Linked DNA regions of Drosophila melanogaster. The protein of the gene in region 2 interacts with the protein of the main gene of each other region in a pairwise test. Each region holds a gene or a part of one and is shown on either strand. Other genes may lie near its edges. The genes, in order: jvl and spn-F.

Region 1 (8,680 bases), about 17 Mb from region 2:
AAAATCAGAGTGGAGCACAACAAAAATAGCCGTCGCGAAAAACACCGTGTTTCTTTGCCCCATCTCACTTACTCATTTTGGGAATTGTACCTGTTGAGCAAAAATAAATTACAAGAAATTGTTACATTTCTTTTTTCGTTGGGAGTCGGAGCGGTTATGACTCATATCAGACGAACAAATGAAGTAAAAACAAACACGCACACTTGTGCACAGCAAGAAAATTCGATAATATTATCAATATTAGACCAGGTGCACTACCAATACAAACTTCTATTTAATTCTTATTCGAATAATTAATATTGTGAACTTTAAGAATTGGTTCAGTAAGACTAAATGCCATATGCATTGGTTCTAAAGCCCATTTCGTTCAGTGTACGGTTCAAGTGAGCTCCGATCGGCGTTTAAGCCGTTCTCTCTCGCTCTTTAACTCTCTTTTTTGGCAAATGAGGCCATCTAGAGAAAAAAGGCTTTTGAAGAATTGACCACAAAAAGGGGGCGTGAGTGATTTTAAGAGTTTACTACAATGTATACTTTTATTTCCGGTTTGCCGCTTGCCATTTCGTTTTCATTTAGGCAGGCATTAAAATGTTATAATGGATAGAAAACTACGAAAAACGAGGAAAACTCAATGGCCATGACGCCGACGCAGGCAGCGCTGCTTTTGTCGAGACAGTCAGCAGACCCCCGCCCCACACATTCAAACACAAATACACACCACGCTCACACATACGCATAGATATGAACAAATTCCGCATTCGCTGCTCATTTTGTATGTAAATTATGCTTAATTATAATTTATAACTAATTATTTGGGGGCCCCCTTTTGGCTGACGGTGTTTTGCAACACTAAGCCCCGCTAGCACTCACACACTTGCGCTCTCTTTGGCTCTGCCCCATTGCGCGAGCGGGACCGAATGAGGCCTCAGCTGTCGCGGGCAAAGGGAATGCGCCAGGGCCAGAGCGAGATGGCATGCAATGGCCATAGCCAAGTGATGGCGAGACTTTGTATTTGCGAGCGTTTTAATGTGTGTGTGTGTGGGGTATGACTATGATAACCGGCTTCAAACGTAAAAAAAGATCCCAATTTGCCAAGTAACATTTCCACAACTTCGAGATATTACTAATGCTTTTGAGGAAGGCTGGGATGACTTTGAAAAAATATCGGGTTGTCAGGGCCTTGAACATTGGGGTGTAAAAAAGCATTTACTGGACAAGGACAAACGACGCGCAGGCACTTTAAAAATAATTATCGAAGCACGCACGCTAGAACCACTCTACCTAAATACATATATAAATATATATGCTTGGGGGCAGCACTATTTCTGAATTATCAGCGCAAAAAGTAGGGTTAGGTTAATTTTATACGCTTCTTGCTTTTGCTCTGTTTTATTTTTTGCTGGATCTTTCTGCGGCGCTGGCAGTGTGTGCGTTTATGTGTGACTGTTGCGAGGCTGAGAGTGTGTGCGAGTGCCGTGTACAGCGTGTATTGGGTAACAGCGCCCGTAGAGCTGCGAAAACTCCGCCGTATAGTTGCATTAATGTAAATGCATCCAGGTGCCCGGCACACACGCACACAAACAATGCACATTTGCATTGCACTTTCACGCACACGCATCGCACACACACTTATCCCACACTCTCGCAAAAGTAACGGAAGCGATGACTGCACTACACGTTGCCTTGCCCACCACACACACACATCCTTATACCTTTTTCACCACCCTCAAAATTTCTAATCTGCTCCTAATTACTAACTTATTAATTAAATGGTAACTCCACAGCTCATTTTCTCCCTTCCCTCTTGCACGCTTCTTTCCCCCCGCTTCTTCTTTCTTCTCCTCGGTTACTACCTACGTTTCACATTTCTTGCATAAAATTTTTCTCCCGTTGAAAACTGATGTCTGTTCGCTTTTTTTTTAGACTATCATTTTGGTGTATCGCAAAGGGTTCTGTTCTTTCTTTTTTTAGTCCGTTTCGCAAAGTTTTTTGAGATATTCCTTTTTTCACATACCTTATTGATTCTTTTTAACGCCATTTTCTGATTGAAATTTGATTTTCTGGGTTGTGTGTGTGTTTGGTTGGTTGTGTGTGTGTTTGGTTGGTTGTGTGCTGGTGTTGGTGTCTCGCGTATTTCTTTTGTTCTTCGCACAGAATTGGGTTTTATTCAATATATAATCCTCCTGCTTAGAATTGAACGAAAAACGAAACACAAAGCTGCGTTGCGCCTCTAGAACTTTGATGCTTAAATATGGCTCTTTCGGTTGAGTGTCCCTTGTCACGAAATAAAGCAGCACCAGCGCACTGCAAGTAAAAACGGCGACCCGACGAAGACTACGGCGACGATTATTTTTTCACAATCAATGCGGGGCCTTTCGACCGTTTGTGCGATAGAGACGACCGTTAGTGAGCTGAGAACGCAACGAAGCACAATCGTTACACCGAAGTGTAAGCCCGAGCGAGAGGAATGGTGTGTCTGTGTCGTGTGGTAGTGTTGTGAAGCGGAAGTCCAGCAGAGCAGTCCAGCTATATGACCTTTTCGCTAGGGGTGGCCAGATCGATTGGGTGGCAACGCCTTTTAGGTGAGGGATGAATCAGTTAATTACAATTTGATTGCCAATGCAAGACTCTTCATACTCACTTTAGTTCGGGAACAGCCAGAAGAAATAGTTTTACCGGCAGCGAGGAGGTGTTATATTTTATTCGAACTACCTTCTTATCGATGGTGCGTGCGCCCAAAAGCTTGCAACTTGTATGTAAATTTGTTAACACCCAACGTGTTGCAGGCTGCCGGAATGTTTTTACTGAGCAATTTTGAGATGTTGGTAATCCGAGTTCTTGAAAACTTTCCGACTAGCTACTGAGTTCTACAACTGAATTGACAGGGCGTTATTTTAAAATTTAAATTCACTCCAGAGCGCTGGTCTGGCAAGGCCGACGTGCCAATTCAGGATACTTGTCGATATTTTCCGTTGTGCTATCGATAGTTTTTGGGAATAACAGGCGTTAGTAGATTTTTAGTATTTAGATTTTATTATCATAAGGATGAAAATATTTTTAACAAAATAAACTGGTTCATTTAATTTAACTTTTTATTTTCTCACTACTCCAAATGGCGCTTCCGCTGTCTGAAACTGCCGTTATAATAGTATGAACAGTTAAAACAATCGACGGTAGCTGAATTTAATCAATGCAGCCCTCTTACCCTATACATCGATAGTATCGCATAAACATCGATTTTGGTTCCAGCTCTAACTTTAACTGTCTGCAAAATATTTCAAACAAAAGTGTTTGTTAATTAAGTAATATACTTAATATTAGTGGCTGTTTTGCTTCGACATTGATCGAATTGCGGTTGTGCAAGTGTTTTGTTTGATTTGTTGGCGTGTTTTTCCTAGTTTGGCGGCCCTTTGAACTCGTTCGTGTATCGCCATCTCTCTCCCACCCCCGCAATCGGCTTCGTGCGTATTTTTTTGTGAATTTTTACACAGAACTCACACTTTTGTATGGCCCAAGAATTTGTACAATATTTTTGCACTTGAAAAACAAGAAATAATGAAGAAAGCCAAGATAAACGCGACGATGTGCAAGTGCTAATCATTCAGTTTTGGCAAGCGCTGAACTTCGCTGACTTCTTGAACAGCAAAAAAGATGGAGGAGGATAATGCCAAGGTCCTAAGTAATAACAACAAGAACAACAGAAACAACAATAAGGGACGCCAGCAGCTGCAGGGACACGCCCACAGCTCCGCCACCGCCCACGCCTCCGTCGATATATTTATATTCGATTTATAGTAGCTGTAGTTGTAGTCATGCCAACAACAAAAACGCAAACACAGACAACAACAACTTGCAGCGAAGAGGAAGAAGCGGCGATAATACGAGAAAATTGCGATACGCCAATGGCGACCCCAGCAAATGCAACAACAGCAAACACAACAACTGCAGCACCCATAACAACAACAACAACAACAGTAAATACGCGCAGACAAGAAGAAGCAGCAGCAGTAGCTTCCACACCTAGTGTTACGAAAACGGCAACAACAACAAACATACTAGCCGCTGCAGCGGGATGCCACAAGCCGTTATTCTTCAGCCGCCGCTTTCAGGACAAACGGAACTTTAGCTCGCTACCGCTCTTCGTCTACGCGACCTCGCCATCAACGCACGCCCACTCAGCGGACGGAGTAGGCGTGGCCAAGGAGGCAGCCGCGTTTTGCCACAAGGTGAGTTTGTTGCACAAAGAACCAGATAAACTTGTAATATTAGGAGAACAAGGAACTTCTATAATTGCCAATCAAATATAATATATCCCCTTTAAGTTATGTATTATAAAATGTAGTATTTTATTTAAACTTTGATAATGCCATTTGTATGTATTTAGATTTAACCCCAAAACAGGAAAAGAAAACCAAAAATAAAGAATTCTGGTTGGAACAGAGAGTTTCCAGTTCGAGGGATTCGTTTGGCATGTCACAGAATTGTAATTGTAATAAAACCCCCATGGGTTTTAATACTCATTTTCTACCTTCCACTCTGCCATCTCTTTTTTTCGAGCAATCGCACCGCTCTTTCCGCTCTAAACTTGCGTAATGGATCACTTCCGCTGCACTTGCAACTTGGGTCGTGTCATATCTGAATATATAATTCCCGCCCAATTCATAGTTTAAACAGTAAGCTCCGCCTAAGAAGAACGCGCTAATAACTCCGTGGTTATACTTAAATGAGTTCTTGATCCAGATTATAAATTTAGATACCTAATATTCAAATAGATATAGCTTTAGAAAAGTTGTAAGTTTAGCATGGTTGGTTGTTTCGTTTGTAGCCACTAACTACTGTATTATATTTATAAACGTTCTGCTTGGCTGCCGCAGTCCGCCTATCTGTTCCTCTCGGAAATCGGTGCATGCAGAATCAGATCTCCATTGGAAATGCGTTTTTAATGTTAATCACGAGCGGCTTTAAAAAAATTGTTTACACTGCGTTTTTTTTGGGCTGTTTGTTTTTTTTTTTATATATTTTTATATCAGTACCTTTTTTCGAGTTTCTGCAGCACGGTGATCGCTCAAACGTGTCAGACATTAATGAGCCAACCGCCAACCGCCAAAGCCGAGCATAACTGTGCTTTGTCTCATTTTGATGGGGCTAGGAGTGGTGGACGGAGGGAGGGATGGGGATGGGCGGTATGGGCAGGTGGTTACAGGTGCAGCCATTGACTGGCGCAGCGCTCTCCTTTTGTTGCCGCCCGCTTGCGGTTCGTTCTCTCCCTCCCTCGCATGCCAACCGTACGGTCTGCCCTCTCTGTCGCGCACTGCAACGCTTCACTTGTGCTTCACTGTGCTTGTTGTTTTTGTTGCAGTTCAGTGAGTTGCGACTTGTGCGCTGCTGCTCATAAGCTTCATTAACGTACGTCGGCAAACGCAGACAACAAAGCTCCCGAAAAAAATTGTTTGCCAGTATTTTTTGCCCAGCTTCGGTTTTTCCCGAAGCTACACACATTTTCATGGTCTGGAAAAGTCGATGGGAATGGTTAGAAGAGACATCCTATTGTTCATTTCCTCAAAACATGATACAAGTTTAACGTGCATATCTTATTTGGGTATTTCCAGCAGAATTTGTTAAAAAATTGTCAGTTAAATTGCATTTATTCTTGCAGTCTAATATTATATGTCTTTAAAATAAGAGTTGGAATAACAGAAGAAACATAAAGCAATATTGTAATGATTTGTATTTATTACCTTTCAGGCCGTAAAACCTGGTCAAAACATTAAATTTGCATAAAGTTGTAATAACTTGTAAACCTTTTTTTTATTACCTACATCCAATATTATTTTTATTATTCAATCAAATTGAGATGCAATCTGCATTTTAAATATTTACCTTACGTATTTCTCATGCTTTCTTTTCAAATTTGATGATCAGATCGTTTGACACTTTCCACTGGTTTACTGCGCTTTCTAACGTGGGTTTCCCCCAAAAAAGTGCCCAGTGGGTGTGGCACCCTCGTATGTGATATGCCCCATTCGGTATGGATAGGAATGTTTGTGGGCGATACTTTCGAGGCACAGTGGATCATAGCATTTTGTGGCAGCTTTCGAAACATTCTGATAGATAAGAATGAAAAAGTATAGAACAAGTGAAATGAAATGAACATTTGCACACTTTATTCGCTATTTAAAGCTCGAGAAACAGCCAGCTTTTGTGTTCATTGAGTCAATATTTAATCTTTTTTCTCAAGGTGGCCCAAAATGTGTAAATAAGGCCTTAAATATCCATTTATTTTCCAGACCCACTGTGACCACCGACGGTTATGAATTGAAAGTCTCAGCCTCTGTTGTTATAATACAATTACGTTGCATTGCTGTTAAATCCGTCCTCCTTGTCGGGTGTTGTTTACATTTTCAAATTTAAATCAATTTTGTTTCTGATTGCGGTTTAAGTGGCAGGTTCCAGTCCCCCAGACCCCAGAGCCCAAGTACCCAGTTTTCAGTTTTCAGCCCCATCTCTTGTCTTTCTTTATGTTTATTGCTGCCATATGTGTTCGGTATCTGGATCTGTATCAGTCTGTGTGGCATTCTCGTGTTGTCAAACAATGCGCATATGGATACTGTATCTGTATCTGAATAAATGTATCTTTTATTACCCATATATTGTGGAACAGTTGTTTTGGGTGCAGCGCAAACAATTGTCGAATAGATCTCTCATCTTCCTCGCCCTTCTTTTCCATTTTTTTTTTTTGGAAATATGTTTTTGATTGCTCTTGCCCCCTGGAGACCTCCTCGTATCCCACAAGATTTTCTAGCCACTGTCTAGTTACATTTCACATACAATCAATATTGTGCCCTCTTTCGATTGAGGCGATATATATTTGAATCGATTTATTGCAATTTATTTGAAATGGTTTGATTTTGTAAGCCAATCGCTAGTTTTTTTTATTGTATTGTGCTCATTCATAATAGTAAAATTTCCGCCTAGAGCTCATTTAACTTGTAATTATGGGGGATTTGACTATCTCGCAAGTGGAAAAAGAGATAAGATAAAATGGAACAAATTTTGTGCTGAAATGAAGGATTTACATTGATGGTAAAAATAGATTTTATTGCTAATGAATACACACTAAAAGTTGCAATGAAAATCGTTAGTTTATTATAATGAAATAGATGATTTGCTATTTTATCGAGATTAGATTAGAATTTTTAAAATCTTCCACAGAACTTTAAACGCACAACAAATACAATCTATTAAGTACGAGTCCCCTAGAACATTTGACGTATCAACTTGGTATCTGTTTGCCCAATTAAGTAGTAATATCTCCCTGGTACTTTACTAGATGTTTTTAAAAAATAAACTATTGCAATTTCATTTTAATCTGAATCGTTTGCCCTACAAAAATAACACCAAGGGAGTATAGCGCTGCTATATATCAATTTCATAAAAATCTATTGGTTTTTTTGGAGTGGTTCTCACTTATCTGGCATGGAACCAGGGATTGCTTCACATCCCTCAAGGTCAAAGACTATATATTTTCTGGTTTTATATTGTACATAAGTGTTTATTTATTTCGTTAAATGAATCTTATCATCAAAATGCATCATGAAATGTGATGTTCCTAAATGATTTGATTGCAATCTTAGAATTAAAGATATGCCCTTCACAGAGCTTCGGCACATTTTTAGATATTTGGAAACTAGTAAATGCCAAAAATAAGAGAAAAACCAACTGCATTAGTTCAGTATACAAGTAAATGTTTGATTATTTAATTAAATGCTATTATACAAGTAGTCTATAATCTAGATCTTCAAATTAACGCCGGCGTAACCCTTGGCATTGAGCCCAGTGACCTGGAAGGTGGTACCAGCTGGTTTTGGCTGGTCGAACTTGTTGGCGGTTGTCACATACAAAATATCCAAATTGGGACCTCCAAAAGCCACCGAGGTGATTTGGGTGGTTGGAATTTTGATCTCCAGCAGAATTTTACCGGTGCTGAATTAAAAAGATAATGTTTAGTATTGAACTAGAATGGGAAATTAAAGAAACCTACCTTGGATTGACCTTGAAGACGGTGCCACCATTGAAGGTGGCCACGTAGATATTGCCATCGGTGTCTACGGTCATGCCATCAGGGAACAATGGTCCTTCGGGCCGAATCTTCCTCAGATCGAAGATGACCTTTGGGTTGCTTACGGCGCCGGTGCTCTGATTGTAGTCATAGGCCAATACCTCGTGGTTGTTGGTGTCGATGAAGTAGAACTTCTTGGCCTTGACATCCCAGGCCAGGCCATTGGATATGCCCACCTTGCTACGGATAGCGTTGGGCTGTCCACCGGCCTGCCAGCTGTAGAGCTCACCCTTCCATTGGGTGAATATGTCGCCACTGTCGGCCATGGTGCCACCGTAAAAACGGCCATTGGGATCGGTTTTGGCATCATTAAGGCGGTTTTCCTTCAGGTCCGGCTGCACCTCGAACAGGGTGCGAGTGACCTTGGCCACTGCGGAGACTCCATCCCACTGGACGATGACCGTACGAAGACCGCATCCTACGGCAAACTCCTGCGGTTTGTTCTCAACCGGCAGAATGAACGATGCAAATATCTCGCCCTCGATTTTAGCCCTGTACACTTTGTTCTGCTTGAAATCATAACGATTAATGCCGGCGGATTCGAGGTCCACGTAGTACAGACTC
Region 2 (7,473 bases):
AGAGCTCCCAATTGTTAAAGTAGATATGTTACAAACTATATGCCAATTTCGACTATCACATTCCCCATGTTGTAAGTCAATTATATAAGCTAATTGGGAGAATAATAGTGCCAATCATCGCCCAGTTATAGTTCATTTTCATACAATCGCAGCATCCGTTGCTGATTTTAAATGTTTTCTTTTGACAAATATTATACAAGTTCTTAGACGATTTTGTTATGCAGTAACAGCGCTTAAATAGATGCGCATATGAAATAAGGCTGAGTTTTGGCACGCATAATTAATACGAATTTGGTGATACACATTTTAAATTTAATTGATTTCTTTACATCACTTTAAACTAGGTCTGAAGCTAAAGACCAACAAATAGTTGATTAGGAATGTAAGGCTGTTCAAATCATTAAATCATTGCAAAGGAACTCTAACTAATTCTGATCATAAGTGGTGTCATATGTATTTGTTACTTACTTTTTGGACGTTTAACGAAATGGGTGACTGTCTTTCGCCCGTAGAGCAAATTCCTCCCCAATTCTGTCCGTTCGTCTCATAGTCCCAGTGCGATTCGTCTTTATGATCTACAAGTTTCAAATTGAAGAAAATGTTAGGTCTAAGACGTTTTCACTTTCTTTCAGCCATCTAGCAGCAGTATCTGGTAATCCTATTAGCCAAGACCGTGAATAAATTCACTTCTGTTTTCATTCGGCGGAATTAGCCGACTCTCATTTCTCTCGTTTCTGTAACCCAAAATAGGGTATGGCAGAGTGATTAATCACAGTAGCTTATACAATTAATGGTAATGGGTGTGCGCCAAGACCCTTTCAAACGTTTAATCCCAATTTTTAATAATTTAGAGGGAAGTTAGTATGTGTTTTAACCGCTTTGAGGCTATTTTGAGGCACATTTATCACTTCCTGCCATTGAAGGCTAGTTAATGCACTTTTATCACTCCATTCGATTTACATATCTATCTTAAGATCTGGGATCGAAATTACCATTTGATGTATGCTGATAGGCGAGCGGTAGTAGTAACAAAAGCTTGTGAAAGGCATTCGGCTGCATTGTTGCAGATCGCAGATGTGATTGTTCTAATATTACTATATATAATATTGGATTCCCGCGGACGCGTGTGTCTTTGTATTGAAATTCGCGGCGTTTTCGATTTTACATAATTCATACGGCGCGAATGTGCGGGAGATATGTTGGCCTCTATATGATGCTGTTGCCACTGCGAACTGCGAGCAACTGAAACGGGCCATAAACACCCCGATATCTTTTATAGTTTGGAGGGGCACGGTGCCCACGTAGACTTGGCGTCTGGGGGGAAGTCGGAATGGAATCGGATCGGATCTGAATTCGACACCTAAGTGGCGCGTGATTAGCCCCAAACGGTAGCAACAAGTGGCAGACTAATTGCAGCGCTGGGTTTTCGAAATGATAAATGGATGGATCGCAATATATAGACCATGAGAGCTAGGAAAACCCAGTATTAGTTGGAAATGCGGAAAAGATCTAACAAAAGTTGCTTGAACTCTTACAAATTCTATGCACATTGGTTGGTGAATGGGTGGGGTTACCAGTTATACGACTTGTAGATAAGCACCAGATTTGATAATTTGTTTCATTATCTGAGCATTTCATAGTAACGTAATAAAGTATCCACGGGAGCTGCCACGTGCCTGTGTCTTAAAAATATTTATTTATCAAACTTATTAGCATAGGCAAATTAAAATGTTTCCTTAAGCTAAATTCCTGCTGCGACCCACTCCAAATGCATTAAAAGAAAGTTAGCTCTGAGCATTTGCATTTGTATTGCTATCAATGGCAAATCTTATGGTCAATATTTTGGCAAATATTCGCATTGAATGACTGGATCAGCCCGATTAGGCACACGTTGCCAGTCGGGTTTCGACTACGTCATAGCCAAAAAAACAGGGAAATCCTCTGACCAGTTACAGCATAATGGCCTCAAGCCAAACTTCTTTGTCGAATGTTCCACTCTTCCCCCAAAGTGTGTGACTCACAGAAAAGCTGCCAATTAGATCGGATAATGACCACAAGCGATGGTAACATCGATCGTCATCTTTGATATTACAATATTTGTCAGCGCTAATAATATAATATTTATGTTGTCCACGGTCCACGATTTCACTTTCCAACCAACCGAAGAGAGCGCTCAACATGTTTTCAGGCTTTTCATTTAAACTGTATTTCGTATTCGGTCACTTACATCTATATATTCATGCACTCTCCGCAATTATAATACAATATATATATATTTTTTCTTAAAGTTCAATGTTGTATAGTTTTGATACATGATCGCCCTAACGTCTTATCAATAGAAACGTAACAAGCGGCTCCTGCGCAGTCAAACTGCTCCTTAATCCTTGGATTTCTCCGGTCAGGTCAGAGTTCGGTGGCGAAATAAATGCGCCTACTGGGTCAGAAGTCACCCACAGCATGGGAAACGAACTCAAACTGGCGCTCAATGCTGTTCTCCGACTCCAGTTCCAGTGCATCGTCGATGAAGTGCATCTCGACGTGCTCGCGGAACGCATTGAAGGACACTTGGCTGGAGTACTGCTTGCCGCACATAGGGCAGGTCTTCTCCATTGCGTCGGCTGCATCTGCTTTGATTTTCTCTTGTATTATGTTAATTCTCTGGCTGGGCGGCGTGCCATTGTGTCCATTGTGTTGGCTCTCATAGTTCTTCAGCTCGCTGGTCAGGCTGTCGTCCGTTTCCAGACTTTTGTCGGCCATCTCCGGTTTTTTGATGGTTTTCTGGGCACATTCCGGACAGGGCTTGAGTGCTGCTTGCACATAAAACAGGCGTTAAAAGTTATTTTTTTTATAGCATGAATTCCATTTTGTTGCTTACCTATGCGATTTTCTAGCAGAGTCATTACCGATCTGAGCTCCTGCTGCTGCTTCATGGCCTCTCGCCTCAGCTCCTGCAGTCCATCCAAACATCTTTTGGCATCCACATTGGCATCTGGTTCACTAGTGGTTTCCTCCACCTTTTGCAGGTTGTAGGGGTAACCTAGTTCCTCACTGCTGGCACCGAAGTCATCCAGGGCTATTTCCTCCAGACTGAGATCCTTAATGCCGTCGGAGAGCATCTTTTGGCGAAGGTGAGGATTGGGGGAGTGCTGCGTAAAGGTCTTGGAGCGCACCAGGTTCTGGTTTTGCTGGGCTCGCGAGTCTGTTGAGCTGGGCAGTGCGTTCAGCTGCTGATCCTTGGAGATCTGCGATAGGCGGGACCAGAGCCGTCTGTTCTCGTTGGATACCATGCCAATGTGCTCCTCCAGCTGCTCCTTTTGGCGCTGCAGCTCAGAGACCTGTGCTTTCAGAGAGAGGACGTCCCCAGTGACCCCGATTTCGTTTGCCCTTGGAGCACCTTCCGACCTGCTGGAGGCCTCCCTTAGCTGCTGGTTCTCCTCCTCCATGCTGGCCACGCGGCGCTGCAGCTGGATGCACCGCTCCTTGATCGTCTGCAGCGCCACTTGCAGTGCGTAGTTCATTTTTTCACTGGAGGGGGAGTTTGTGGATCCGGAAGCGGACATGGAACTGGCCATAGGCGTGATTTTGGCAGCAGATGCCTCCATTCTGCAGTATTGGAGTTCCTTGGCACTTGATCCCAAAAATATACGTTTTCCTGTAGATGTTTGATTTTCCAAATTTTTATTGCGTTCTCATTAGTATGACCGTGCGATGAACTTAAAAAAATAATATACACTATACCGATAGTCTATAGTCACTGAAGACAGATAAATAAAAGTAAAGTAATGTATTGAGCTAAGTTTAATTACTTAAACAAAAATAACGACTCTTGATCTTATAAAGTTAGACCACCATTTACATGGTTGAAGACGATAGGTTCAACAGGTTTCACTCTATCTCAGCATTCCTATTACGTTATTTGGTAGAGTGACCAGCTGGTATCGCGAACAGCTGTTTTTGTTTACGCTGCATTATTATCCAACAAATTTTCCGATGTTTTGCGGCAAGAGTTTAGTCAATAATTTTTACAAATATAAGAGAAAAGTGTGGCAGAATGTAATCCCAATTGCACAGCGCTGCAAGGGAACTTACCACCCTCCAAAAATTCTCTTTTTCGGTACCGACAATTTTTCCTTGCCCAGCTTACAGGCGCTACACAAAAACTGCGGGTAAAATGTTTTAAACAATAATGTTAAATTGGATTAATAAGAATATTTTTCTTAGTGATCGTTTGGGAGTTGTTACCTCCTTCAAAAGTCCCGCCAACTGTGTGAGGACCTACGCGGAAAAGGAGAAGCTTCCCCTGCAAAAGTGGCCCATAGATCCTTCTGTGTGTCCGCAATTTGATCTGGGTGTGGTGGTCTCCTTTGGCCACCTGATTCCTGGTAGTATCATCAATGGATTTCCTTATGGGATGATCAATGTTCACGCTAGTTTGTTACCCAAATGGCGGGGAGCTGCTCCCATCATATACGCCATCATGAAGGGAGATGCCAGCACTGGAGTTTCCATCATGAAAATCGAACCTCACCGGTTCGATATCGGTGATGTAAGTTCATTCTTATCTTACCATTGTATGCAGTAGTATTGACGACTTATGCTTTAGATTTTAGCTCAGCGAGAAGTGGCTATTAATCCCGATGTCTTCATGCCGGATCTGCATGCATCTTTGGCGTCGCTAGGAGCCGAGTTACTTGTGGATACTATTAACAACCTATCAGTAAGACTTAAGGAAGCCAAACCCCAAGATAGTTCAAGGGTCAGCTATGGTAAAGCATATCTAAGCACTTCGAGAACCTATATAAACTATATTTTTGCCTTCAGCTCCCAAGATTACCAGTAAAATCACAGAAATTATCTGGTCCGAGCTGAGTGCCATTGAAATATACACTCGTCATCGAGCTTTGTATGGCTACAAAAACCTTACAACCAACTTTTTGGGCAAGCAAGTGCAGTTGCTGGAGTTGCGATTACCGGAGAAGAGAGTTCCCGTCCAAGAACCTGGTGCCATCAGCTACCTAAGGAAGTCGAGATCCCTCATAATCGGATGTGCTCAGCAGAGTCAGTTGGAAGTGCTTCAGTTACGCGTGGAAGGTAGAAAACCTATGAGTGCCCAGGACTTTAACAACGGATTCCTGAAGCAAGCAAGGTCCTTATCCTTCACAGAGAATAAAATAGCATCGATTTGATAACGAACGTGTGGATTTAATGCACAATGGATGCTTAGTATCTAGGCCAAGTCGGAGGGCTTGACTTCCTTGGTTTCGGACAGCTGCTGCGTGGATTTTTGGAGCAGATTCTTGGTGAACCACATGGGACGAGGCTTCTTCATCTCCACGATGCGCTTGTTTTTCAGATCATCTGTGGACTGTTCGGCCTTCTCGCCTTCATAAAGAACGATTACTTCCTTGTCCACGGGATCTAGACCGAGTGTCTCCTGGATTTTCGACTGCATGAGCTCAGTCTCCTTCAGGACCTTTTGGTAGCAGAAGGCTGGAAGAGCAACATTAAAGGTGGCTACCTCTTTGTATACTTTTAAGGCTACTTACGACAAAGAACTCCCATCTCGTGGTCATGGCCACATTGCAGACAGGAGCGGAGGTTTCTCTTCTCCCTCAAAGGCTTCCAGTTGTATTCCGGATATCCGAACTTCCGCTTCAGGCGTTTCTCCACGGATCTTCTGTGCTTCGGAACAGCCCACAGCAATCCGTCGCCAATAAGCTGCTTCAAACTGAATTCCTGGGAGGATTTAGGGCTGTGATCATGCTGAAAACCGGCCAACGCTAAAGCTGTGTAAAAAGTGGGTAAGTCAGGGTAACTTTATCTTGGGCTGGTGCTTCTCACCAGGAGGGTGTCCTCCATGTGGCAGGAACAAGCTCTCTAAGTTCCTAATAAAGTTTGTAATTGATAAAAACAAATTTCTAGACATCTTGTTGCTGCTCTTCTGAAATTTACGTAAACGTGATTAGAGATGCGCAAGAGGAAACAGCTGTGCTATCGATATGTTTATAGAAAAACGTAAGTAAGGCACAAAATAGATGTAAAAATGTTAATTCAAAAAAGAGCAATAAAAATGGTGTAACTACTTTTAAAATAATGTCAGCATCCGTAAATAACTACCGTTTTAAGGTTGCAGACTTTGTCGCCTTACGTTGCACACTTCTAGTGCTACGTTTTAGCCGGCTGCCTTGCGTCACCGCGCACGTTGCAACCCTAAACAGCTGTTCGCAGCAGCTGTTCTGCACTGTTACGTCAAAATAAAGTAGTGAAAAGGTGCAAATTGCGTGCGAGTTAAATAAAAACTATTTGCCAGGCGGAAAAACGCGTTTTCATCGGGATCTTTGAGCGTCCCAGTTGTTGCGGAACATGAGGACACTGGCGGGACTAATTGGTAGTGGCGGTAGTGGCCATAGGACCTCTGTGAGCAACGCTTGAGTCCAGATATATCCCTCCAATAGTGTGACCCATAGGTAGCCTGGGGTCATCCAAACAGACCTCGACCCCCAGTGACTGTAAAACCGCGTGGCTGCCTTAGCCACCGAAATCCCCGTTCAAGTTCAAGCCGATCTTACCTTCGTGAGCGATCGTTTCCACCACAGTCGGCCAGTGGGATTCCCACCACACCTGACCGCGCGCACGCGCATCGATTCAAAAATCCACAAAAAGCGAAAACACTTCGCTGGAGCTGCTGAAGCCAAACGCAAGCAAACCGCGCTTCGCCGTCGCCTCGAAATCGTTAGTCCATCGATACCCCGAACTCGCCACACAATCGCGCGTTTTTCAAATCCTGCGAGCCTGCAAAAAACATAAACAAAACCCACTATAATGCTGTTCACCTGTTGAATTCTGTGCCTGTGTCTCGATCAAGAAGCTGCATCCTACCCTTCCCACAAAAAAAAAAACCATCGCATAAGCCCTGCTACTTACAAATCCTCACAAACAAAACCCACAAAATGGCCTGCTTGAGCACTTCCGGTCGCGTCGTGTGCGGCTCGCGTCGCCAGCAGGCGCACAAGCTGCTCTATCAGCTCTTCGGATCCCGGCCAGGATATACAGCCCCGTCCGCCGCAACCGGATTATTCAGTCCGCCCAAAGTTCAACAGCAGGCCATGCGACTCTACCACGGATTAAGCTTCAGCATGGGCAAGGATTACCCCGATCTGCTGGTAAGTTCACTGTCGGGCGAAGCCTACACAGCGAGAAAAGTGTTGTGTTAAATGGTAAAAATAGTTGAAGTTAGAAAAATATGGAAAATATGAGGATTTCATTTCTGGTAAACTTGAAAAGGAAAAGATACTTTTTATAAGCAGTACAATTTAAGTGATTCCTTTTAAAATTTGCAAATGTGAAATAAATCCTTATAAAATTGGATTGAAAATGTATTAGTTTTTTTTTTTTGCCGTGCAGAGTGCATTGGCTGCAAGCCAACTCTTTTGGCCGCTAATGCGTCTGCGTGACTTTGGCTTTTGCTGTCCG

The links.
Region 1: the proteins of spn-F (region 2) and jvl interact in a two-hybrid assay, tested with the Drosophila melanogaster proteins (3 studies listed by BioGRID).

The regions. Positions count from the first base shown.
Region 1 is NT_033777.3:14,738,369-14,747,048, forward strand, and holds the start of jvl (javelin-like), read left to right. Parts: upstream 1-3,213; 5' UTR 3,214-3,809; coding exon 3,810-4,223; intron 4,224-7,532; exon of another isoform or gene 7,533-7,787; coding exon of another isoform or gene 7,788-7,980; intron 7,981-8,038; coding exon of another isoform or gene 8,039-8,680. Other genes in the region: eff (effete), read right to left, coding at 2,012-2,035; smp-30 (senescence marker protein-30), read right to left, coding at 7,788-7,980, 8,039-8,680.
Region 2 is NT_033777.3:31,251,372-31,258,844, reverse strand, and holds spn-F (spn-F), read right to left. Parts: upstream 3,719-7,473; 5' UTR 3,603-3,718; coding exon 2,876-3,602; intron 2,808-2,875; coding exon 2,440-2,807; coding exon of another isoform or gene 2,404-2,439; 3' UTR 2,186-2,403; downstream 1-2,185. Other genes in the region: CAH6 (carbonic anhydrase 6), read right to left, coding at 469-575, 993-1,059; CG1750 (uncharacterized protein), read left to right, coding at 3,991-4,166, 4,222-4,546, 4,604-4,766, 4,822-5,186; mRpL32 (mitochondrial ribosomal protein L32), read right to left, coding at 5,228-5,490, 5,547-5,786, 5,842-5,926; qless, read left to right, coding at 6,951-7,163. UniProt on the Drosophila melanogaster protein: Plays a role in oocyte axis determination and microtubule organization during oogenesis. Also required for polarized organization of the bristle. Required, with jvl, for activation of the kinase IKKepsilon in the germ line.